3 linked regions of the Callithrix jacchus genome follow. The protein of the gene in region 2 interacts with the protein of the main gene of each other region in a pairwise test. Links are inferred from orthologs where the notes say so. Each region holds a gene or a part of one and is shown on either strand. Other genes may lie near its edges.

Evidence for each region.
Region 1: the proteins of ARHGEF7 (region 2) and SH2D1A interact in binary tests that used the Homo sapiens proteins (3 or more experiments, as listed by UniProt). The link is inferred for Callithrix jacchus from reciprocal best matches to the Homo sapiens genes ARHGEF7 and SH2D1A.
Region 3: the proteins of ARHGEF7 (region 2) and GIT1 interact in binary tests that used the Homo sapiens proteins (3 or more experiments, as listed by UniProt). The link is inferred for Callithrix jacchus from reciprocal best matches to the Homo sapiens genes ARHGEF7 and GIT1.

The regions. Positions count from the first base shown.
Region 1 is NC_133524.1:120,100,108-120,104,450, reverse strand, and holds the start of SH2D1A (SH2 domain-containing protein 1A), read right to left. Parts: upstream 2,849-4,343; 5' UTR 2,761-2,848; coding exon 2,624-2,760; intron 1-2,623.
Region 2 is NC_133502.1:26,831,170-26,834,813, reverse strand, and holds part of ARHGEF7 (rho guanine nucleotide exchange factor 7), read right to left. Parts: intron 1,572-3,644; coding exon 1,311-1,571; intron 1-1,310. UniProt on the Homo sapiens protein: Acts as a RAC1 guanine nucleotide exchange factor (GEF) and can induce membrane ruffling. Functions in cell migration, attachment and cell spreading. Promotes targeting of RAC1 to focal adhesions. May function as a positive regulator of apoptosis.
Region 3 is NC_133506.1:104,019,977-104,024,172, forward strand, and holds the start of GIT1 (ARF GTPase-activating protein GIT1), read left to right. Parts: upstream 1-1,312; 5' UTR 1,313-1,574; coding exon 1,575-1,626; intron 1,627-4,196. Other genes in the region: ANKRD13B (ankyrin repeat domain-containing protein 13B), read right to left, coding at 601-738. UniProt on the Homo sapiens protein: GTPase-activating protein for ADP ribosylation factor family members, including ARF1.

The sequences.
Region 1 (4,343 bases), on a different chromosome or scaffold from region 2:
ACAAAAGAATGAGAAACTACTCTGAGTAAACCCTACAATCAATGCATGTTTATCAGCTATACCTTGTTGTCTATGTGCATATGACACCACTTCTATTGTTATTTTGACTGCATATCATAAGCAAAAGTGTTTTGTTTTAAAATTAGTACATGGTTTATTTCTAAACAAAATTTGATTTTATCATTACAGTGTAGCACCAAAAAGAGGAAATGAAATGTTTATGTTTATCAAAAAGGACTCTCAATTCAAAAACCTTGAGAAACTCTGATAAAAGGCAATGTATCCTTGTATCTTCCCTCTGCAGCACATTCTGGCTATCACTCTAACAGTCTCATAAGACTTTGAGGCCCCAGTGTACCATTTGAAAGACACCATAAGGGAACTCCCAATTTGCCCAGTATTTTCTGCTACTTTACAGGGAGGTTTTCATGGAGAACTAAGGGTCATAAAAACTGCATTTATGCAAGATTCACTTTGGGCAAAAAGTTAAATGCTTGAGAATTTCTCATCTGCCTAAGTTAATTCCTTATGTGGTTCTGGCCTACACAGGCAAAAGGCTAAAGTTGTCCTTCTGTCTTATATATTGTACTGAAGGCAATCTTTTGCAGAAGGTAAGATACACAATACTATTCCTGTTTTATAAATATGGAAAGTGAGACCCAGAGAATTTGAGTGACTTTCCCAGAGTCCACACCCTAACCCATCGATGTCCATTCAGTTTCTTACAGTAAAGAACAGAATTTGCCTTGACAGTGTGTTGATTCAAAAATATTTGCTGAGTGCCTATTATGTGTTTCTGTGTTCCTGGTGATGGAGACAATGTCTCTACCCTCATGGAGATTATATTTTTGCAGGAGCGTCCAGCAATAAGTAGGTAAGTAAGCAAGTTATCAGATAGTTTAAAGCTCTTTGAAGAAAAGTAGAGATGGAGCGAGTGTATCAGGGACAGGGAGAGAGCAGTTGTTCTAGGTAGTGGTCAAGCAAGTCCTCTCTGAGGGAGGAGACAGTTGAACAAACATGTGAACAATAAGTGCAGAAATCCTAAGTGGGGGCATTTTTTAGGAGCTTGAGAAATGGCCAGGAGCCCAGTGAGGCTGAAGCCTTAGGTGTATCTTGACTCTCACTATACCCTGTTGTCCCTCCTCTGCCCAGACTTGTTTTGTACTTTCTTTTTCACCTTTGGGTTAAGGAGCATGTTATCTCCTTTGTCAGCTTCCCTAAAGCAGTACCTTTCACCTGCCCACTGCACCTTCTTTCAATGAGAAAAGAGCCTAAGAATCCCAGCTGGTTTTCTTTGCCCTTCCCTAGGTTCCACATGGAAACAATAATGATATAAGCAAAACATAAAGATTCAAGCCCAAGACAATCAATAGCTTCCACGTATTTCCCTTGAAGCCTTTATGAAAAATGTATTTAGAGCATGATAGGAGAGCTGCAACAAACAAGGCTTGACCATTTTTAATAACCAATATACAGTGAAAATCCTCTAACACCAGCATCGGGATCATCTTTCTTCACTGACCCATAAGGTATTTCAAACTCTTGTAGTGTATCATCAGATGCTGAACTTACTACCAAGCATTTAACCTCATTTGGTTTCTGTCTAGAACCTACTATGCAGGGTTGTTGTTTTCATGGATTTTTTTATTCCGCTGACAATAATGCTTGAGCTAGCTAGGTACTTCCTTAGAAATGCCCCCATGATTCCTAAAAGAAATCAACTGAAAAGAGGAGATATAATAATAATAATATATCTTTAGTATTATTCAATGGATAAGAAAACTGGGGGACTGAAAGGTTAATTTGCCCAGGTCACAAGACTAACATCTGACTAGCGCAGGACTACATCTCAGATCTGCCTGACTCTGGAGCACTGGAGCAACGACACAGGTGAATTTGATTCAAAATGAAGCCTTAGACTGAGACATGCCTAGGCAAAGGGCAAAGCTGAATCATAACAAGGGTGTTTTCCCTCCATTCCCTTTAAGACTACTGTGAGTCCTAATGTTTATCAAGAAGGATCCTATTTCTGAAATCCCCTGCCCCACCCCTCACAGACACTACCTTTCTAAAGAATGCTACATCAGCAGATCCAGAGAGATGATTTTACTTTCACACATCCCCCTCCTCTCTCAGCATCTTGACCTAACTGGCATTGCATTCTTAAAGTAATTGACTGTTTCTTAATCTGCCTCCTCTCTCTGAATGTCATGCTCTTTCTTTGGGATGACACTTCAAAAGTCATTTAAAGAGAGCTAGAGTACGGAGCCACCCGATAGGAGTTAAAATGGAAGTTGGGAGCCTGGGTCTTTCTTGGAGCAAAGGTAAACTTTAGACCATATTTCACCACCCTAAAGGGCATTCTCTGCAGCTGCCCCAAAAGCCCCTGGTGAGGGCCTTCTGGAGAGCAGGAGGCCCAGGGAATGAAATCCCCAGCGAGGGACTCAGGCGAAAGTGTGTTCCCTCACGGCCCTGGACTAGACTTGAGGGTGGGTCATGAAGAAGGCCTCAGCAAGCTGCTAACGCCAGCACCCTTGCCCGCCTCAGCCTCTGCCCTGGCCTCAGCTGCCAGTGCCCACCATCCACATGCTCAGCAGGCCCCTGCCTGCCACAGAATACTCACAGCACACACAGGCAGTACACGCCTGGCACGCTCTCGCTGTCCCTCAGCAAATAGCTGCCATCCAGCCCAGTGGCGAGCAGGAGCTTCTCGCCGGTCTCCCTGCTGATTTTCCCGTGATACACAGCCACTGCATCCATGGCCTGGTGGACTCTCGGGCAGGCCGAGGAGGAGGATTGTACAAGGGAGATGCCGCTGCTACTGCAGCCAGGCACAGATCAACCACCTGACTCCCAGTTCAGCCAGATGTGCAAAAAAGAGAGAGGCACCCAAACAACAGGATGTTGTCTACTTGCCTTAAACCTCCTTCTCACACTTCAATTAAAACCAGCTCAGCAATTTAGTAGCTTGGTTTAATCGAGCTTGCCAAGGGCTTCCATCTCCTGCCCCCCAACACAGGGTTCTTACAGAGGGGAGGAAAATTAGAAGAAGGATTTTGCAAGATTTGAGCTGTACTGCCAACACACACCCTTGCACGCAGATAGGGATGCTTAGTAATGCTTCTGTTCTTGCAGATTACTCAGAGGCCACAAGGAATAACTTAGCTCAACCAGCCGGTAAGGAGTTGATGATAGAGGCAAGTTATACATGTCTCTGTCGGTATGTGGACCCATCATGTAGGGCAGAAACATACTGACAGAATGAAAGGACCAAAAGCTCTGAGAACAAAACACTAATAGTTTTATTAGTACTGTCATTATGCAATCATTACTGAACACGGCCATGAAGACTCCTACAGAATCAGACATAGCAGATGAACAGTGAACTTTGGGCAAGTTCTTTTTCTCCTTCTTCCTTCTACCTCATGCAGTCATCTTGAGAAGTCTTGGTCCTGACCAATATTGATTTCTTTCCTAACACCTTGTCCAAGGTCCCAAAGTGCTAGTTGAGATACAAAAGTCACAATGCACATCCAAAGATGTTCCAGATTTAAGTATTTGATGGGCTTTAGATGAGACAATGTAACATTTAACTGGTGATTTGTCTTAATGCAAATTTGTATGTGCCCTTTGGTGTATAAGGCCCACCTTTCAGCATTTTGTCCAAAAAATCTGTTTTAAATCATTTGCAAGCGTTGATAATTTTGTTGTAACTTTTATTGTCTGTTGTTTCTAAACAATGTTATTTCTTCGATTGATGCTAAACTGTCTTTAATATTTTAAAACCTTTCAACCTCCATTTTCTTCTCTGAAATAAAGCATTGCTTCTATTTCAAAATGTGCTAGGTAATATTTCCCCAAAACTTCTTGCATTTTCACTAGAGTAAGAATTTATTGCTGAAGCTGAATGGTCTTATACATGTACCTTTAGATTATGCAAAGTACTTGTAAAATTGGAATTAAAATAACTGAAGCTATGTGATCTATTATATGCTTTCTGCAACTTCAGCGTGTAGTTCTTTGAGAATATGGCAATGCTGGGAGCTCAATAGGGAGAGCAATACTTAATTCCTCACATGTCTTACCAATGGATTGCAGGTACAGAGCTGACTTGCACCAAAGGCAGATATTTGCTCTTCATCGACTAGGGTTAGGAAAAATCCTCTAAGATTTCAGTGATAGCTGGTAGCAACTTTTCTTCTTGATTGAAGAGTGCCCAGCCTTACTATGCAAAGTATAAACATAAATCTCCTACAGTCATTTTCAGCATTAAGATTTAATAAAAAAGCATTCAAGGTGATATTGGAGATGGCTCTGGGGAACTGGGCCGATATTTTCTTATC
Region 2 (3,644 bases):
CTCCCAGCGTGGAGCTGGCAAAGCAAGTGCAGCCAGATTTGGCAAAACCAAAATGTTTATCTTCACTTCAATACCCCTTCCCTTGCCCTGTCTACTTCTCTCCCAATCTTTTCTAGTAATTCAATCTCCACCAGTTCTTGCAATAGTTCCCTTTTTCTTTAGACTGTGCATACTAAAGTATATAAGGAACACCAGCATTCTTCAAGTAACTTCGCATGATAGAAAAAATTCTGACTTGCACACACGACTACCTGCAAGGTATCATAAAAACGTGACTCAGTAAGAACAAAAAGTGCAAAGCACTGATCGTGGGTTCTTACAGAGTATTTTTCTACGGACCTTAAAACCCTCAAGGCTGCTGGCAAGAATGTAGAAAAGGTCTGCTCCAGCTTCCCTGGCAAATGTGGCCTTGATCAGATAGAGGCACAATGCCAGGCAAGAGTGCGTCACCACCCTCACGCTCACACCCACCAATGACACTGCTGCTCACATTCACAGGCATGATACCCTTACCCTCCTCACAGCCACTCCTTATACCTCACCAGTGAACACACTCAACTGCTTATGAAAACAAGACTCATCTCAATTATCAGCTTCCTCAGGTGAAAATACTTCTCACAACACACTTCTCAAGATACTTCCTTTCCTCATCCAAACTGGTTTAGGTCAAAGTGTAAGAACCTGTTAATACTTATATTTAGTCATTAGAATTGCACTTTGCACCTAGCATATAAAAAATGCTGGCTCAGAAGGGAGATGAGCAAAGACTGCATCACGATTTCTTACACATCGAAGCAGGGAACTGCCTTAAGTAACTGTTTCATTTGTATTGGTAAGTGCTCTCTTCATCTCAAATGGTACTGGGTGACAGGACAGGATCCCCAACCTAGAGGAGGAGTTGTTAGACACAACAGACAGCATGCAGGTGCAGAGCAGCGGCCTCACGCATGGAGGGAAAGCCACCTAGAAATCAGCCCCTTTCCAGCTCCTGGCCCCCAGGGGTACAGTCCTCTGGCAAGCACAGGAAAGGCCCTTCTCTGCATGGCACAGAAAGAAGGGGGCGCTGCACACACTCTTCCCACACAGGGTAATCACGGGTCTCAAACCAGCAGAACAGATACCCAGGGAACCGAGACAGGAAGGGGCGCTACACACCCTTCCCTCACAGGGTAACCATGGGCCTCCCAGCAGCAGAGCAGATAACCAGGGAACCCAGGCAGACCCCCTTCTCCATTCTCTAGGAGTCAGGGTGCATTTTGCTGTGTACAGAAGGACCAGCCCGGCACCCCCGGGGCCCGAGGCATGCTCACCGTTGTCTGGCTGTTTGAGTGGTCAAGGGACCTCACCTCCTTGTAGCAGAGAGCAGCTGAGGGCCGGAGGGGAGGCGCAGGCCGCAGGCAGCTCAGGCTCCAAGGCTTGGGTGTTTTCGGAGGCTCCAGGGGTCCCCAGTTGATGGTGGTGTGCGGGGTGCCATGGTGGGAGGGGTGGGGGAGCGTGTGGTAGGCAGGCGTCAGCGGCGCGGGCTTGCTGTCTGCATGCTTGCTGGACGGAGTGACCGGGTGGGAGGGGAGCTGCCGAGGCACAGAGCGGGAAGAAACTCATGTGCTCACTGTGAAAGTGCAGTTATCACGCACTTCCTTCCATTCTTAAACACTCCATGTGAAATAAACCCCAGGATTAATCATTTCATTTGAATCTCTGACTCTCAGCAGTCAGATTTTGGAGCTAAACACCACCTCGCGCCACCTGGGCTGAGCGTGGAGCTCCCCATGGCGTCTGCTCCAGGCAGGAGGGGCAGCTCAAGCTGGGGCTCCACCACTCAGGCATCCACTAGCCACATTAATTGGCTATGCAGTAACATTTATTAATAGAAAAAAGCTACTTCATCTAGTACAAAGATTAGAATTTAAAAAATAACACAGGACGTGGCTGTAAGAAGGAAGGTGATTCTCCCCAGCCACGTATTATTCTTCACCTTGTGATAAAGGACTGGGCAAAACTAAGGCCTGATCACCTACTTTTTTTAAAAAAAGTTTTCCTGGCACACAAGCAGGCCCGTTCCTGTCTATAGCTGCTTTTCTGTCCCAAGGGCAAAGTACAGTGGCAAGAGACCTGAACCTGTAAAGCAGAGAATGTTTACCACCACCTGGCTCTTTAACTGCCAACCCCTGGTATAAAACAAGCTATCTTCTTAGAAAACTCAACTTTAATCAAATCAAAGTTAATCAAAAATTAACTTCTTAGAGGGCTGTGCTATTAATAAATTTTATATTCCTGGAAAACGCAAAATATCCCATCACAATGGCAGTTAAATGAGGAAAGTTAAATAAAATAAGTAATTCTCACAATCAGCTAATGACCTCAAATTAGCCAATAACAGTAAAGGCAAATTTAATGGGAGAATGAGCTGCATGGCGCTGTGAACTGGAGACCTGAGTGGGGTCAGCCTTCTGAAGACACGCACGACATTAACACAGGCTGAGAGGGCAGGTCCCGCAGGAGTGGACGCAGTCAACTGACTACGAGGATCCCATTCTAGTCCCTGCATGGGGAGGGACGTGTGTTAAGATGGAGGCCATGCTAGGAAGCCATGGCAAGGTAATCTTTCCATAGGAAATAAAGCATAGATGGACTGAAAGACGTCGTCAGAGTTAAGTAATGTCTGGTTTTGTTTCTCCTTTTCTCGAAAAAAAAATCAAAGGAGGTATACTTTATGCTAAAATTAGAATATGATTTCAGGTGGACAGAGTTGGATTACAGAAGAGTACGTCATCCCACAAAAGAAACTTGGTGGGAGAACTGTAAGGCACGTGCGTTCCACACTGAAGGGGTGCCTTCCCAGCCACCAGTGAAAGAAACACTAAGACAGAGGATCTGGCCACAGAGAAAAGCTGACTTGATATAAAACTTTAAGAAGTCGACTTTCAGGCTGCTGTTGAAAACCTGAGTGAAGCAGCTCATCCCCACTGTTCTTTATAAACACGTGTGTACACAGGCATCCGTGGGATAAACTGATCTCCATGAAAGAATGGAGAATTTTAAAATGGCAGAGCCATTAAAAATGAAATGCTAGCTGAAAGCCAGTGAGCAGCTATAATCTCCATACTGTGGAGAGAAATCAGATGGACTATGAAACTCTAATGAGAATATCAGAATACAGCAACCCTTCTTGAGCTATACAACCTTAACATGAAGAATAAAACGTGGAAAGTGAGCCACATGACAGAACTGAACCTAACAACCTAATAAGGACGCAAGGACATCTGCAAGCTGAAAGTGTCATCATAATTCATTCTTTGAAAGTTCTGCCCAGTTTTTCGGTATTACTCGATAAAGATGACAGCTGTTAACCCAGTACCAGCTTCTCAAGCACAAAACACCAGGAGAGGTTTAGACACTGCAACTTCAGTGCTTATCTATTCTGAAAAGTGGTAATTCTCTAAAAATACAAAGAGTTGTTGAGCCTTTCTAAGTATAAGATACCTCAATTTCTTAAAACCAAAACAGTGTGTCATAAATTCTATTTTAATGCCTTCAACATGAATTTGGCCCTTATCATCATCAATCATTTATTTTTCTCTCTCATAAATGAAGCATGATAAACAGTTAAAATTCTCAGCAAAATCATCTATAGTTTCGTGTAA
Region 3 (4,196 bases), on a different chromosome or scaffold from region 2:
TTTTTTTAAGGTGCAATTATAAATAAAGCCCATAGATCGCGATTTCAAACAAACTTGTCAATCTGGGCCGCAGCAAAAGGCGATGGAGGCAGCTTTGCATGTATTTCGGGTGGTGTGACTCATGAGCATTACTTGTCTCCCCTAGGGAAGGAGCCTGCCCACCCACAAGTCACTGCTGCTCTGGCACCGCTGGGATAAATCTACCAACTTGAGCACCCCTGCCCAAGGACTGCCCCCATCTTCTTACCGAGCAGGAGACTCTGACTTTTGGAGAACTCTTCCTCAATCGTCACCACTGATCTGGCCCCCAGGTCTGGCCCTGGGGTCCCCTGCCCTCTCCCCACAAGCAGAGGAGTGCCCCGCCTTTTGCTGCTGCAGGGATTGGGGGTTGGGTGCACGCGCGGCACACGTGTACGTGGGAGCATGCTCAGTGCGGGGGCTGCACCCACGTGCGGCCTGCACCTAGGCTCCCTGCCCCCCTGGCCACCCACGTTCCTCACCTGCCTCGCCTTTGCCTGTCTCTTCGTGTGAATCCAGAAGAAAAGCCGTCACCTGAAATGGCCCCTCTATGTTATATGAACCCTTTCTGGACACACATACCTCTGGTGGCCCAGAAACACCGTGGGTGTGTATAGGCCGGATGACAAGTGGATATGAGTGCACACAGGCACAGTGGTCACTCCTCGGGAGGTCTTTAAAACCGTCCAGATTCTCTCCTCTCTGGATGGAAGCATGCATGGAGAGATAGATGTATTTTTAGTCCGAAGACAGGAATACACTGCCTGACCTTTCCGGCACCTGGGCGTCCATATTGTGTGGGCGTTTTCAGCAAGAGTGTGACACCACACACACACCTGGACACACAGATGTGGACACTACAGGACCGGGACGCACACTTCACCCCAACCAGAGATAGACGGGTACTCAAGGCACAGCCCCTTTGACGTGGAGCGGGACTTGGGCCTCCAAGTCCTTCCTCTCTTCCCTAATCCCCGCCCTCGCTGTCCCTGGGCCCAGCGTCGCCCGGGCCACCCGACACCGAAAGTGAAGGGGAGGGGGCTGTGAGGGTGACTCACACTGCCTCCGGGCCAGGAGAGCGCTGCAGCAGAGGCCGAGGCCTCAGGCCACGCTGCCCGCCGGCACCCGGCGGCGGCCGCGGCCCCTTTAAGCGTCCCCGCCCCCCTCCCTCCCGCGCCCGGGCTTCCTTTCTCCGGGGGGCGCGGCCGGCAGCGCGCGGCGGGGCGGGGGTGCGGCCCCTCCCCCGGTGGGCAGGGCCTGCGCCGCTTCCTGCAGGAGCGGCCGGGAGCCGCGCAGGGGGCGGAGAGAGGAGCGGCAAGCGGCGGCGGGGCGGCGCGGGGCGGCGCGGGGCGGAGGACGCCCGAGGGCGAGCGGGCAGGCGGGCACGGCGGGTTCCGGGCCAGCCCCGGGGCGGACGGTTGGCCGGGCGCGCGGAGCCTCGCCGGGGCCACGCCGGAGCCGGGCCGGGCAGCAGGGACCGCCGCCGCCGCCGCCCGGGCCCGCCGCCCGCGCCCCCCACGCTGGCCCAGAGGGCTGCGGCCGCGTCGCCGCTGAGGATGTCCCGGAAGGGGCCGCGAACGGAGGTGTGTGCGGACTGCAGCGCCCCGGGTAAGCGCGGCCGGGCCGGGGGCGGGACCGCACAGCCAGGCCGCCGCCGCCGGGCGGGCGCCGGGGCCAGGCGGGAGCGCCGTGCGGGGCCCGAGGGCGGGGCCGGGCGGGGGGCCTCGGCCTCCAGGCTCGGCCCCCGCCCGGGCCACTGCGGAGCCGCGTCCTAGGCTGGAGAGCCGGCCTGGGGAGGCCCCTGCTCCCTGGCGGCCGTGGACTAGCGAGGAAGGACGTTCCCGGCGCCGCCTCCCACCCCTCGGTCTGAGGGAGGCGGGCAGCTGGCTGCTCCTCCACCTCCATCTCTATATCCAACGGAAGCGCCAGCCTGGGGTGGCAGGAGGGCCGTGGCGGAGGCCGGCAGGGTTTGGGAGGAGGGGGCGAGTGTGGTTTTGTGTCATCTCAGTGCCACCCCCGCGTCTTGCACCTGCTGCTCTCGTGGTCGGCACGCCCGCCGGGGTGGTGGAGGGCAAGGAGCAGAGGGCCGGGCATATGCGCCAGTGGAGCCTGGATACCGTCTCCTCAGGAGCAGATGAGCGGTGGCTACTCCCAGGACTCCCTGCCTCGGGTTCCTAACGCTGGGGCTCCTTGTGGGGCCTGGTGTTCAGGGCCAGTCCAGACCCGGGTGTTTTCCCTGGCGGCATCCCCAGGCCTGCTGGTGACTGGGAACAGCTCGGCTGGACCCTGCTTTTGCTGTTCCCCAGTAAGGCCTGCTTGAGAACGCGAGCTTGGCATTGAGCTATCCTGGGCTCGGCTCCTCCCTGTCCGCTAGCCCAGTCTGGCCAGAAATGGATGGGAGGCAGTGGCAAAAAAGTGCCTAGATTCCCCCATCCTGCTGGCTTCCTGGCCTGCCTCCTGGATGTATTTACATAGTGGTTCCCTTCTCTTTCGTAGCAGAGTTAGGACTGGGCTGGAGTGAAACCCCCCTGGCCTGCTGAGGAAGTTAGGAGTAATGATCCTAGAGGCTGCTCCCTTCTGATGGGGGAGGACAGCCAGTGATGGGGCTCTGCAGCTGGCCTGGGAGGGAAGCTCTAGCCCCATCCATTCTTTCTTTAGAAAAGGAGCTGTCTCCCTGGAGCAGGGAGCAGGTTCCAGAGGTCTGTGGACTCTAGGGAGAGTGGGCATGATTAAGAGTGAGAGTATGGTGTGCTGTTTTGTGGACCCATAACTTTCAGCCACCCCTTGAGCAGGCCCAGGACCCCACAGGTTGAGCCTCACAGATGCTCTGGTGGTTCTGGGGGTGCCAAGCTAGAGTATTTGGGAACTGGGAACCTGGCAGGGCTTGGGGACGAGATACTCGATGGGCATTATGACTGGAGGAGCTATCTGGGAGTGGGGGTCCATACCCCTAAGAAACTGTGACTCCCTTTCCCCAGATGCAGACAGGTCTGGGGATGGCAGGGCTGAGGACACCTTGCCTTATAAATGTCTGTCCCATTGTTCCGCACCTCCATGGTGTGGGCATGGAATGATGGGAGGAGAGGCTTAGCAGATACCCTATCAGAGGAGCCTGGGCTTTAGTGTAGTGTACCTTTGTTCCCAGCTTACTCTGTAACCCCAGCAAGACTTTCATCACTGTGGGGGCCTCAGTTTCCTCAATTCTGAGGCAAAGAAGTTGGAGTAGAAATTGTTTTTGAGGGGCTGCCATCTCTGAACCTGTGGTCTGATTCTGGGGCAGTGAGGTGTAGGGCAACACCAGCAAGGCAGTTACCCCTTTTTTTTTTCCTTTTTTTGAGACAGAGTTTCACTTTTGTTACCCAGTCTGGAGTGCAATGGCGTGATCTCTGCTCACTGCAACCTCCGCCTCCTAGGTTCAAGCGATTCTCCTGCCTCAGCCTCCTGAGTGGCTGGGATTATAGGCATGTGCCACCACGCCCAGCTAATTTTGTATTCTTAGTAGAGACAGGGTTTCTCCATGTTGGTCAGGCTGGTCTCAAACTCCCAACCTCAGGTGATCCACCTGCCTCAGCCTCCCAAAGTGCTGGGATTACAGGCCTGAGCCACCGAGCCCAGTTGGGAGTTGTCCTTGCTACATTGCGTTGAGTAGTTGGCCAAAGCCTCTGGATACCCAGTGAGCTCAGGGAGGAATGGTGAGCGTGTAGTATGTTGGATTGCCCAGCTCCTACCCCCAGGTCCTCATCCGTCAGAGGCATTTGTGCCCCAGATATCTCCTTTCCCCTGATCCCCAATAGAGGTCAGGAAGGTAGTGAGAAGGTGAGGATGGTAGTGGGGGAAGGATGTGGACAAAGTCTTACTCATTATCCCACCTCCCACCCAGCAAGGTGTCTGGCATGTGGCAGGCATTCCGAGTGTTTGGCTGCTTGTCAGGACCCTGGCTGGCTGTTTGGGACTGTCCCACACCTGGACAATTAGGATGCTGGCCCTGGTGAGCAGTGGCACATTTGGTCTGGGTCCTGTAGCATCTCAGGCAGAGAGGCATGAGGGTACCCGGTAGTCTGGAGGCCAGATCCACTGCCAGCCCCCGTGGTGTATGACTCCACCCCAGGGTCACAGGCTTCTCTTATTGCAGGAGCCCTGCAGTTCCAGCCACTTGAGTAGGCTCAGGGGCTTTTGTG